Lepisosteus oculatus: one gene and its partners. The protein of the gene in region 2 interacts with the protein of the main gene of each other region in a biochemical or structural test. Links are inferred from orthologs where the notes say so. Each region holds a gene or a part of one and is shown on either strand. Other genes may lie near its edges.

What was found. The genes of interacting proteins can lie anywhere in the genome.
Region 1: the proteins of disks large homolog 4-like (region 2) and kcna1b form a complex in vitro, tested with the Homo sapiens proteins (3 studies listed by BioGRID and IntAct, with this or other methods). The link is inferred for Lepisosteus oculatus from reciprocal best matches to the Homo sapiens genes DLG4 and KCNA1.
Region 3: the proteins of disks large homolog 4-like (region 2) and kcna4 form a complex in vitro, tested with the Homo sapiens proteins (8 studies listed by BioGRID and IntAct, with this or other methods). The link is inferred for Lepisosteus oculatus from reciprocal best matches to the Homo sapiens genes DLG4 and KCNA4.

The regions. Positions count from the first base shown.
Region 1 is NC_090702.1:25,874,866-25,879,088, forward strand, and holds the start of kcna1b (potassium voltage-gated channel subfamily A member 1), read right to left. Parts: upstream 2,868-4,223; 5' UTR 2,192-2,867; intron 1,874-2,191; 5' UTR 1,519-1,873; coding exon 40-1,518; 3' UTR 1-39. UniProt on the Homo sapiens protein: Voltage-gated potassium channel that mediates transmembrane potassium transport in excitable membranes, primarily in the brain and the central nervous system, but also in the kidney.
Region 2 is NC_090698.1:10,879,180-10,883,402, reverse strand, and holds the start of disks large homolog 4-like, read left to right. Parts: upstream 1-1,671; 5' UTR 1,672-1,934; coding exon 1,935-1,953; exon of another isoform or gene 1,954-2,185; intron 2,186-3,073; coding exon 3,074-3,196; intron 3,197-4,223. UniProt on the Homo sapiens protein: Postsynaptic scaffolding protein that plays a critical role in synaptogenesis and synaptic plasticity by providing a platform for the postsynaptic clustering of crucial synaptic proteins.
Region 3 is NC_090716.1:3,645,416-3,649,638, reverse strand, and holds the start of kcna4 (potassium voltage-gated channel subfamily A member 2), read left to right. Parts: upstream 1-1,022; 5' UTR 1,023-2,157; intron 2,158-2,179; exon of another isoform or gene 2,180-2,527; 5' UTR 2,528-3,411; coding exon 3,412-4,223. UniProt on the Homo sapiens protein: Voltage-gated potassium channel that mediates transmembrane potassium transport in excitable membranes. Forms tetrameric potassium-selective channels through which potassium ions pass in accordance with their electrochemical gradient.

The DNA of each region.
Region 1 (4,223 bases), on a different chromosome or scaffold from region 2:
AGTGTCACTTGGGTCCGAGCTGCTAATGTTTCTTTTTTTTTAAACGTCAGTTAGCAGCTTGCTTTTGTTAACACAGTTTTGGTTGGCTACGGTGCAGTTGCCAGTTCTGAGGTTTGCCTCTCTAAAATTGTCTATGCTATTGTTTATGTCCTCATCGATTTCCATGTACTCGGACTTGCTGACAGTAGACGAACTACGGCGACTCGAATTTGTGTCAGATGCGATGTTCGGGTTGCTAACATGTAGCAATTGTGCCTGTTCTTCCCCTTCCGTCTCTCTGTGATAGAAGTAATTAAAGTTGGACACAATTACAGGCACGGGCAATGCAATCGTCAGCACTCCGGCAATGGCACACAGCGACCCCACGATTTTACCCCCAATTGTAACAGGGTACATGTCCCCATAACCCACGGTTGTCATAGACACCACAGCCCACCAGAAAGCGTCCGGGATGCTGGAGAAGTAGGAATCCTTCTCTTCTGCTTCTGCAAAATATACTGCACTGGAGAACAAGATGACACCGATGAAAAGGAAAAATATCAACAGTCCCAGTTCCCGCATACTGGCTTTGAGAGTCTGTCCCAAGATTTGAAGTCCCTTGGAGTGTCTGGAGAGTTTAAAGATTCTGAAAACTCTGACCAGACGGATCACCCTGAGAATTGCTAGAGACGTCGCCTGCTCTCCCTTCTGCTCTTTCCCGTCTTGCTCTTCTGCCATCTCAGTGCCAAGCGTGATAAAATACGGGATAATGGCCACTATATCAATGAAGTTCATTATGTTCTTAAAGAAGTCCGCCTTGCTGGGACAAGCAAAAAACCGAACTACCAATTCAAAAGAGAACCAGATAATGCAGAGAGTCTCCACAATGAAGAAAGGGTCAGTGAAGATATTTGGTTTGTAGTAGAAGGTACTGTTCCCTATAGTTTGTATCCTCCCTGCAGGGTCGTCTTTTAGTTCAGGTAGAGTCTCCAAACAAAATATAACAATTGATATCAGAATCACCATTACAGATACGATAGCAATCCCCCTCGCTGGTCCAGAACTCTCCGGGTGCTCAAATAAAAGCCAGATTTGGCGTTGAAATTCCTTCTCGGGCAAAGGGCGTTCTTCCTCCCTGATGAAACCCTCATCCTCGCGAAATTTTTCCATTGCCTCCTCCCCGAGCTCATAAAACTTTATCTCTTCAGAAAACATATCCAAAGGTACGTTAACCGGTCTTCTTAACCGGCCTCCCGATTGGTAATAGTACAGGATGGCGTCAAAACTAGGACGGTTTCTGTCAAAGAAATATTCATTTCTTAGGGGATCGAAGTACCGCATCCTTTTCTTGGGGTTACCCAGTAAGGTGTTGGGGAACTGGGCAAGTGTTTTTAGTTGAGTCTCGAAGCGCAGCCCGGCTATATTGATAACCACTCGCTCACAGCATTCGTGATCATCGTGGTCTGGTGGGTAGCTGTCTTGTGGGTGCCCGGGCAAGGCAGACGTCTCATCCATGTTATCTCCTGCCACAACTGTCATCCTGGCTGTCGAATCTTTTAATACTGCAGGAGATACGTCTTCTGTTCAGCCCGCGTCAGCAGGCTCCCAGTTTTTATTATATGTGTCGTCTTCGACTTGCTCTTTTGTTTGCGGGTTCCCCTTTTTAGGGGATAGCTTTGCTTCGCTTCAGTGCGGTTCCCCAGCTATCCGCGCTGACTCGACCATTGCTTCTCTGTGCTGCTGCTCCTCCTGCTGCTGCTGTTACTGTCACCCAGTAGGAGAAAAAATGGATCGAACAGAAGAGATCTTTGCCAGATCAGCAGTTTCGGCTGCCTGTTTTTTTTTTCTTTATGCTGTAGACCTAAGGTGGCCAAAGCGCAAACTGTACAGGATGCTGCGGAATACAAAAAATCGGAGAAAAAAAAACATTTATTTCTTCTTCTTTGAAAGACGTCCAAAATCCCATACAGTTCACTGGAACGAGCCGTGCATATTTTTACTGCATAGAGCTCTGCACAAGTTTCAGATCTACAGCCCACCCACACTCCTCAAACTAAATCCCGCATATGCTAACATCTCATTTTAGCCAAACAGCTGCATCATCGTTAGGGACTTCAGGGTAGTACAGAAGTAAGGTCTCTTTTTGTGCGTTTATTATTATTAATATTAATATTATTATTATTATTTTGTCATCATCCTTAATTCACCTTACCTCCGGTTAATCTTGTAAGACACTGTGCAGGAATGCGTCGACTCCGTGGACACCGAAAGCCAAAGCTAGAACTTTGCACTCCCTGCTTTGTTTTAATATGGCTATCGCTTTACACTGCGCTATCTAGGAGCTTTACTGAAATATTAATAGACTATATTGTCTTAGTACATGTCTACGGCATTTTAACGTCATTATTTCCTAAGTTTAATCAGAACAACCGAGCCACCTCACCGGTAAAAGTATCGAAGTGTTGCATCTTACATTAAGGCAATATAAAAGCCCGAGAGACAGACGAGAGAGCAGAGACAAAACCAAACATGAAATCCACTGGATCTATTGACCTCAGCCCAGCTGCACCATTTTAGCATAATGTCCTATACAGCGAGAGAAGTGATGATGGTGCGATTGGGAAGGCTGAATACATTAAGGGCAATAAGCGAACTCTTTTGCCATTTCTTGACGTTGCAGCATCAGCAGAAATTGGAGAGCTTTTCCTGTTTGGTGCAGATAAGATAACGAACGTCCCAAGGTACTGTACACCGATATCTCAGTACAGTTTCAGAAGGTGAACGAAAGCGGGACTTTAAAAGGGAACGGATTGAGAGCAAAAATAAAAAAAATAAAAAGGCATTTATAAAGACAGTCTACCGCATTACTTAACATACAGTATACAGGACTATAAAGTACTGGGGAAAGAGAGTGGTGTGTGAGCGAGGGATAGAGTGCGTGAAATTGTGTGTTGGGAGGGGGGTGGGAGGGGGGTTAGACGCAATGCAGACCGGCTGTGCTAAACACACGTTGCCACTAGTGCATCCTACACCATAAAAAAAACAACATTGCATAGTACAAGACAGCGCTGCTGTACAAATATGGGTTTGTAGAATCACCAAGGCGGCTGTAGTGGTGTCTCACCGTGTACTGTATGTTACTCTCGACGATGACAAAGGTGGAGTGACATGGATTTAAATACATGTATGAAATAAAGATAGGTTTAGGGGGTTTACGACAATGTAAAATAAACCGAGATATACAGTTTATATAATACTACTACGGACGTTTTATCATGTTATGCAACCCTCAGTTCAACATACTGTACAATATATCAAGACAGTAAATTCACTACTATTTATATTATGTTCTCCCACAGACAAAGGTCAAGCTTATTATTTTAATTTACTGCAATTCTGTCATGCTTTATCAGTATTTAATTAAAAATAGCAGCGTATTTCAGAATAGTTTTACTTGCAGTTTTCTAAAGCAGCACTAGGGAACATCCAGCATTATTGACCATACAGTAGGTACTGTACAATGAACCTTGTTTTTATTTTTTCTTTCTACTGTATGTGTGCAGTAGGAATATAGCTAGGTAGGTCAATCCTTAAATATACATGTACTCATCATATACACAGACATGATGCTCTAGACGCATGAATCCTTATAAAACTATTTTTAATGGAAAGGTCAGAAGTAGTGGGCCAGCTCATACTGTAGCACAGAGATGAAATACTTAATTTCCTTAAAATCGCTAATTTCCGCACCTAAAGGAAACAACTATAAATAGAGAAATGTGTTATAATCAGCAGGTTTAGCATGCTCTCCTTAAATAGTACAGATAATACTTCCACTACAGACACTGGCATTGAAAGCAGCATTTGTGTTACCTTACACCATGCCACAGAAACTGGATATTTACAGTAATTTATGATGGTGTGTATTAGAAAGATACAAAATCTAGTGATTTTATGAATATCAGGACTTTTAAAGTCATAAACTATTCACATTTTAGGGAGGTTGTTCTTCCATGCATGGATTGAAAAGTGAAAATATCTTGAAAAGTATTGTTTAGCCAATTAGAGGTATAGAAAATGAGGTTTGGTGGATGTTTTGGTTTAAGAATGGGATTAAAGGAATGCAGTTCAGTCTTCGGCCGTTCCACAGGTGGTGGTCTGGCACCCATTCAACATGTTTCTGCCACTGAAACCATGGCGTTTATAACCTTTTTGCGGACAAAAATGAGCAGTTGTCTGTTTCC
Region 2 (4,223 bases):
TCAGTAACAGACAGGAGCGTGTGTGTGTGTGGAGTGTGAAGGGTCAGTAACAGATAGGAGCACACGTGTGTGTGTGTGTGGAGTGTGAAGGGTCAGTAACAGATGTACACTTGTGTGCTGTGGGTATCAGTGAGCCGTTACGTGGCTCAGTCAGCCATGTTTGTACATGTGCTCAGTGATGACTTGGCCGTGTCTTGGAAGCAGCTGGTCGTGAGAGGTTTTCCTCCCTTCCATTCTCTCGGCCCCACTGCGCCGGCTTGCATTCCTGACCAGCCCCAGCTGCTGAAGGGCTAGGCTCCCTCACAGCCCTCAGACAGGCTACACACGAGGAGCTGCGTCCCAGCCATTCCAGCCAGACTGCCAGGACTCATCGCCCAGCCTGAAACACCCCAGAGAATGTTTTTAACACAGCCTGGCAACTTGATCCAGACACCCCCCACTCTTTGTGTAAACCGCTGCCTCCTGTCCTCAGTCCTGAATGAACTGTTCACACTTGTGTTCACTGGTAGATCCAGCGGACGACTTCAGGTCCAACTATCAAATCCAGGACTTAGAAGGCCTTTGACCACTTGTATTTTTTTTTCTGTTCACAACTAAAGGGACTATGTCCCTTTAAGATCATCCATGCGTTTTCCAATTCAGGATCGTGGGGGAGCCGGAGCCTATCCCGGGAAGCAATGGGCGCAAGGCGGGGTATACCCTGGACGGGACACAAGTCTTTAAGAGCAGGAATAATAAACCTTTTTCTTACCTCAACAGCTGTGTTTTTAATTCTGTCTGTCATGTTGCGCTGTAATCGTAATGTAAACGATTAAATGTAAACAGCTTCTTTTATTTTTCCGAACAACGGACACGCACATCTCAGCTCAGCTTCAAAACTAACTACGGCAAGTCGCCATGGACATACATGACGCTATCTTACAGCATAGTCAAGTCAATAATTCAGTCAAGGCAATGTTTCAGTTCTATAGCGCAGTTTTATTGAGGGCAGCCAGTCCAGCGGCCAGCAGGGGGCAGTGCAGCTGAGCTGGCAGCTCCTGCCAGAAGTGCTCCAGCTGTTTCAATGGTGCTTCCTGGTCCTCCTCCTCCTCCTCCTCTGGCGCTTCACACTGGACCTCCTGACTCGCCTCCTCCTGCGCACTGGACGGGACGCTCGTCTATGCCTCTTGGCCATGTCTGCGGTCTGTCCGGAAGGCGGCACTGTGCCCTTTTTAAAGCCTCCGGGGAAAAGCGGGCACCCCCCCCTAGTCGTCATCTACGTCACAGCTTGTAGTTATGACGCGTGGATGACATCATATCCCTGTTTAACAAAACAGTCTGTCGGGCCCCAGCAAAGAGTGCGGTTTCCCCCTGCTTTCATCACTCAGCGCCAGCCCAGTGAAAGCACCAAAACAAAATAAAACCAGTTTTATTTCAAGTGGTGTTTCAAGCAGTTAAACTCAACATTATGTTTTGGAAACTTAAAATATTTGTTTAAGAGCCGTTTTAAAGGGTTAAATCGAAAGCTATAATTATTATTTGTATTGGGACACACTGTTTTCAATAAATACATTTATTTATGCAGTCGTTTATAAACACACGGTCCGGAGAATATTACCCAAGTGAACTACAGCACCACTCTCGTCCACGTCAGTATTAAGCGGCACCGTAAATCTGGTCTTGTATAGCATGCTTTCATTCTGTAATACGGCATGCAAAAAGTTTAATCATGAGGTTATTTTATAGCTTAAGTAGTATCCTTTAACGCAAGTATTCCTTTCGACTAAATACGGTCTTAATAAAACAATATCGTGGTCGAGAGCAGGAGCCAGAACTGCATTTCCCAGAAGTCCCCCGTGGGATTTCTAAAGAGGGTTAGAAGCAGTTGCTCCGGAGGGACGGGGGGATTAAGGGACAGGAGAAAGTCGAGAGGGAGGGAGTAAGAGAGAGGGAGAATGCCGCTGAGGAAACAGGGTGAGTGTCGGAGCCGGTCTCGGCCTCAGTCCCGGTTCGTCTCCGTTACAGGTCGGGTAGGGGGTTCGGTACCCAGAGTTCCCGCCCAAACGCCCTTCTCGAGCGAGAAACCCGGGTCTGCGTGCGTGTCTAGAGCGCGCGCCGTCTGCGAGTCGGCGCTTCAGGGCCCCACGGCTCCGTGGGACACAGACCCAGAACTTTCCGTGACGAGACAGGAGACTTTTGTGTGGAGGTGTGTTTTTGAGTGTTTAACCGACAGAAGTCGTGTGAAGGAGAGCGGCCGGAGCCCGGAGTCACCTGTCCGCCGGCTGTCCGCTGAAACCCGTCACTGCCTTTCGAGGAATGACATTTAAAACCGCGAACAGGCAGCACTTCTTTACAGAAAGGGTTGTGGGGGCATGGAACAAGCAGTCCAGACAAGTTGAAGCCGATAACCTGGCTTCTTTCAAAGTACAGCATTTAAAACTGCAAACAGGAGGCACTTCTTTACACAAAGAGTGGTGGGAGTGTGGGATTAGCTGCCCAAGCACACTGAGGCTGATAACACCGCCTTCTTTCCAAGAATTGCATTTGAAATTGAGAATTGGTGGGGGAGATACATCTTTACCCAAGAGGGTGGGAGTGTTGAACAAGTGTTGTTGAGCTAGTTCAAGAAGTGGCTGGGTGATGCGATCCTGGGACCAGCTAGCTACTATCTGCCAAACAGGCTTAACAGGCAGTGGTTTACCAGACAGAATAAAAGTCACCAGAAGGAAGAGAAATTCAGAAACTGTCCCAATTATTATTTTCATGGCAGGGTGGGCCATATTTAAAAAAAAAGAAGAAATGACCCGTTCAACTAAACTGTTTCACTTTAACAGACGGTAGTGGAGTAGAGAGTGGAAGTCCTGATCTTTTTAACCGTTTCAAAGTAGATTGATAACTGGTTTCAGGTGGACAAAGAAGACCCCGAGACACTGTTATTTATGTGTACTGTAAGAAGGCAGTCCTTGCCTGCCCAGAGAGGGGCGAACGGCTCTCTTACAGCACGCAGCGATGTCCTCCCCAGGTGTCCACCTCTCTCCCAGTAGCTCTCACTTCTATAACCGCCTGCCTGTCCGTCTCTGTCCTCCCGGCCCAGACACGGAGAAAGCCCTGCGCTTGATGGAGGAGTGTCAGTCGGAGACCGGCGACGAGGGGTTCCGGGCTCGGGCCGAGAAGCTCCTGAACATCTTCCAGAGCGACCTCTTCCAGGCCCTGCTGGGTGAGGCTGCAGGTTGGGTTAGGCTACAGGCTGTGTTTCGATGGGAGGTTCCCGTTTCGAACCCCACCTCCTCCTCCTCCCACCCCCCACAGAGCTGTGCCCCCGTCTCCCTGATGGAGCTTCTGTGGGCAAGCTGTGGATATCCTGTCCAGCACCTGTTGTGCCCCAGGTAACTGTCCAGTTGGCCCCCCTGCCCTACGAATCAACAGCCCAGGCTGATGCAAGCGGACAGGTGCCCAGAAAGACGCAGGCTGGCGCTGTTGCACGGCCGAAAGGACGCCCAGGCCTGTTTAAGGCCACCCAACCCTGAAGGCCCCAAGCCAACTGTACCCACTTTTGGGGGAACACCAGTCACAGTGGGGCGAATGAGGGCCCAGAGCAGAACCAGCACTGTCTGGACTGTAGGGGCTCAGCCTGCTCCCTGATCGAGCGCCTTCACTGGCTGAGCCCCATCAGGAGCCCCCAGGCTGGGCTGTTTCTAAGAGATTTTGGAAACCTTCTGGACGTGGGCCTCCTCGGGAGCACAGACACGGGGCCTCTTCGTTGTACAGCCCTAGGTGCAACTCCACTCTGCCCCCTGCAGCCTGACCAGAGGAACAGTATGAACACAGGGGGCGAGGATGAGACACAGGGGCCTTAACTGTCTGGGGTCTGTAAAACTGTACAGGAGGGGGGTCCCCTCTACCTCTGTGTCTTCCCCTGTCGCCCCTCTCTCGCTTTCCACCCCCCTCTTTCAGATCTCACACTCCGTCTCTCCCAGCCTCTCTCTCTCCCTCTGCCTATCTGTCTATATTTAGTGGGGATGTAATCTGCTGGTTTAGCTGAGGCGGAGGGATTAGAGCTGAGAGGCTCTTGCAGCACTGCCCGATTAAGAGCAGATCATCCAGGAAGCTTGTCACGGAGGCACGGCAGGCAGGCCGAGAGAGAGACGGGAGGAATGAGGCTGAGAGCTGCTGTTTTCTGCTCTGCACCCACTGTGTGGATGGGGCGCTTGGGCTGTGGGATGAATCACAGACATACAGTACTC
Region 3 (4,223 bases), on a different chromosome or scaffold from region 2:
ACGGTTGGTGTGAGTAGGGCGACCTCTTGTGGCACGATGGAGTTACTGCAAGAGTACATTTCTTGTTGACACGTGATGGCGGGGTCTTCGCTTGCCTGAGTAGAATCAGTCCATAGCTAATCAACATAGCTATAGACTAAATGAGCAATCAACATATTTTGCAGGTGCAGTCGCCTGCATAAGCGATATCACCAGTGACAGCTGGTGAACACCGAGACATCTCAAAAATGATGATTACACGACAGAAAGGCGTGGCTTTAAATGGGACAATACGACCGCAGAGCTATCTCCTTATAGTCCAGGGCGGGCTGGAGCGGGCTCAAACTATATGCATAACACGAATGTAATTGCTTACACTGTAAGTTACAGTACCGCTTCAGCAAAGCCGTTAGTTTTAAAGCGTCTGCTGTATTAGAATTCACCTGCGGCTCGGCGGCGTTATTGCACGTCAAGAGACACTGCTTGTTCTACAGAGCCCAGAGGTCACCACTGCGCATGTACTACAGCGAGTACAGCGCGCTGGTGCCGCTCAGTTCAGTGACTCAGCCACAAGTTTAACTCCGCGTTCATGCGGGCGCTGTTTGCACAAACACCGCTGCACGCTGGGGCTCTGCTTTAAAGCGGTACACGCAGCCCAAATACTCGCCACGGACACAGTCGGCGTTCCTGCTGTTCGTGTTCATATAAATATCACAAGGATCCAACTATAGCCCCCTGATGAGGCACGCTTATATGTACAGTACCACACGGACATACTCCAACGCGTCACCCAAGGGCGCCGAAGATGCTCCTTCGAGACGCCTGGGATACAGGAGTTCGGCTTCTCCGCCAGGAATAGTATTTCTTTGCCACCGTGTTGTTTTTCCAACTTCGATATCACTCGGTTCCTATACACGCTTCATGCTACACTCATATGCAAACGAAACGTTGAATTGGTCATTAGCTATAAGTTAGCACTGGAATCTAAACAAAACAGTTTCTGTCGGTACTAACCGGGAATATACAGTAGACTATAGGCGCAAAACGTCACATGACTAGATTACTTCATGGGGGATATTATCATCATAAACACGTTTAAGCACACACCAGAGTTCGGTGCATAAATAAACCAGCAGTAACAGGTTCCGACACGAATGTATTCAATCTGCTCCCCGAGCTGCCGTGTGTCCAGTCCGCACGACCGTCGCGCGGCCGGTAAGAGAAAAAGTTCCCGAGCGCGCGGCGGCTGCAGTGCCTCGCTCCGGCCGCTGAGGGAGGATCGCAGCCCGGGCTGCGCGAGGGAGAGGCACCCCGCGCGGCGGGACCCGCTGCTCCTCTGCGCGGCACGCGCGCACGCGACGGGGGCGACAGGGGCCGCCGAATGACTTGGGGAGGGGGGGGGGTAGGCGCGTGTCACAGGCGGCTAATGTTATTTTAATCGACGCGACCGATGAACTTTAATTATCGTCGTCGCCCGTTTTGTTTTGTGGTTTTTTTTAGATATAGAGATGTGCGGATCCGCACAGGCTGAACGTCTAGCTTTTAAATTCTTAACACCTGTATATGTGTGTGTGTATATATATATACACCGTGTGTGTGTGTGTGTTGCCGGGTAAGGCGAAGCCGGGAGGAAATGTGTATTTTTTGTCATTGAGAGGTGTTGACAAAGTAGTGATTGATACTGTTGCACGGCCACGGGAACAGCTGCGATTTCCACAGCGCGCTGAGCGAACTACGGCTGCTCACACCTCGCTACAGTCACAGCCGTCTCCCGACACGCGTTACGCAGGGATCTATTGTGTTATCTTTTCCCCTTTTTTTTGCAACACCGTGAGCATACGGGAGGAGAGGAGAGGGGGGGCTCAGACACTGTTTTCATTTTGACTGCTGACTTTAACATCACTTGCCGTGCGCTGCCTACTGTGGGGAGACGCGTCAAACTGCCGGGGAAAAAAAAGCACCGTGATCTCCCGGGCGCGCCAAACCTGCAGCTGGGAAGGTGAATTCGTCTCCAGCTCATTTCTCTTCCATATTCCGTTTCCTGGCTGGAGGAAAGAGGGATGTGAGGACCTGAATATCAGGGCATCATAAAAAAAAAAAACAACTATCCCAACTATTGAAGATCACATCGGGCGGAGAGAGAGGAATAGGATCTGCGCCTGATTTAATTTTCAAAACGTAAGTACAGGTCTGAATCGTACTGGGGTGTTTGGGGACAGAGGGGGATTGTGTTGTATTATGTGCACGTAGGGTTTTCGTCTACCTGTATTTAGAGAAAGACTGAACTGGGCTAGACTGTATTGCAAGCATCCATCACGCAGTGAGACTCCTGTTGCAGGGGCTGTTTTGTTTAAGGTAGTGCAAGCGAAATGATAATATAGTGCCCGAGGGAGGGGAAAAACGGGTATAGATTCACCTGCCTTTAAGGTGCAGGCAGGTTTAGGATTTAGGAACTGTGTGCGTTGGCTCTCTAAGGTCGTGGAGGAACACGACGATCGGATGAATCAAGATTTTCTCGTTTCGCTTTTTTTTGTTGGTGTTTCCTCAGCCGTTGTAATCATCATCATCAAGTCGAAGACGTGCGAGGAGGACGGACGGCTGATTGCATTGCGCTTCACGTCTGCAGAAATAACATAACCTCCCACCCACCCCCCCCCCAGAGAAAAAAAAATCAAGACCACCACCACCACCACCAACAACAACACAAAGATCAAGGGTGGGGGGGGCGGGGGTCAAAAGGCGGCTTTAATTGCGCACATCTGGATATCAGGAGAGTTTGTGACGAGCGTGACAAGTGGAAAAGCGACAGTCCTCCCGAGATGGGAAGCCGGCGGAATCTGTCGTCTGGGAGCATCTTCGCCATCCTCGGCGCCGGACACACCGCCGGACAGGTGCAAACAGCCACAGCTTAGGGCGGGGGGCGGGCAGATCGTTTTGTGACCCCTCCGTCGTGGGCACTGCAAAAGTGTTTCCACCGTGCGAGGTGAGGATGGCGCGACTGAAGAGATAAGAAAAACAATAATAGTCATTCACCCCTCCTTTCCTAACGCACCGTCTCCCGAGCGGACCCCTGGGGCCCGACCCGACCCGCACCCTTCCCCCCAGTTTCGCGGAAGGAGTTCGGGACTAGGATGTTGCTTGGCCGGCACCCGTGGTCTCCAACAACGGACATGTCAGGCAAGAGGAACTAGGGCCCGAGTCGTGCTGGAGGCGCGGACGAACAGGTGCGAGGGTCTGACAATGTACTGAGCCGCCCCCTCCCTCTACCGCCACTTTCACTTCAGGTCAAAGCTGCGGGCCCTTGTTTTTGTTGTTGTTCTTGTGTTCTGACCTCGGAGAAAACTGAAACCGGGACACACACACACACACCTCCCCCCCGGACTCAACCCCCTCAAAAAATAAAAACACCGGCACGCCGCTCGCCCCGCCAACATGGAGGTTGCCATGGTGAGCGCGGAAAGCGGCGGGTGCAACAGCCACCTGCCGTACGGATACGCCCAGGCGCGCGCCCGGGAGCGCGAGCGGGAGCGCGAGAGGGAGAGGCAGGCGCACACGCGCGCCGCCGCGGCCGCCGCCGCCGCCGCCGCCGCTGCTGAAGCCGCCTCGGGAGGAGGAGGAGGAGGAGGAGGGGGAGGAGGGGGATCCGTGAGCCACCACCACCACCACCTTCACCACAACAACAACCACCACAACCAGCAGCCGCATCCGTCTCGCACCGCCTCCTCCTCCCAGGCCGGCAGCAGTGGCGGCGGCGCCGCCTCGCGCCCCTCCTCCTCCTCCTCCCAGCAGCAGCAGCCCCACGAGCCGCCGCCGCCAGCTGTCAAAGGCAAGCAGCGGCGGCGGCGCGCGGCGCAGTGGAGACGCGAGCGTGCGGCCGGCTTTCGCCACTCGGAGCTGGCGCTGCTCGGGTCCGAGGACGACATGATGAGGGAGGAGGAGGAGGAGGAGGAGGAGGAGGGGGACGAGGACGAGGAGGAGGAAGGCGAGGGGGGAGAAGGGGACGGCGGCGGCGGCGGCGGCGGAGGGGGAGAGCCGAGAGAGCGGCGGAAAAGTTTCCTGTGGAGCCTGGGCGACGAGGAGACGGTGTCCCTCCCGGACCGGCGTCCCCAGCAGGGCTACGACCACGTCTACAGCGAGTACGGCTGCTGCGAGCGGGTTGTCATCAACGTGTCGGGGCTGAAGTTCGAGACGCAGCTCAAGACCCTGACCCAGTTCCCCGAGACCCTCCTGGGGGACCCCGAGAA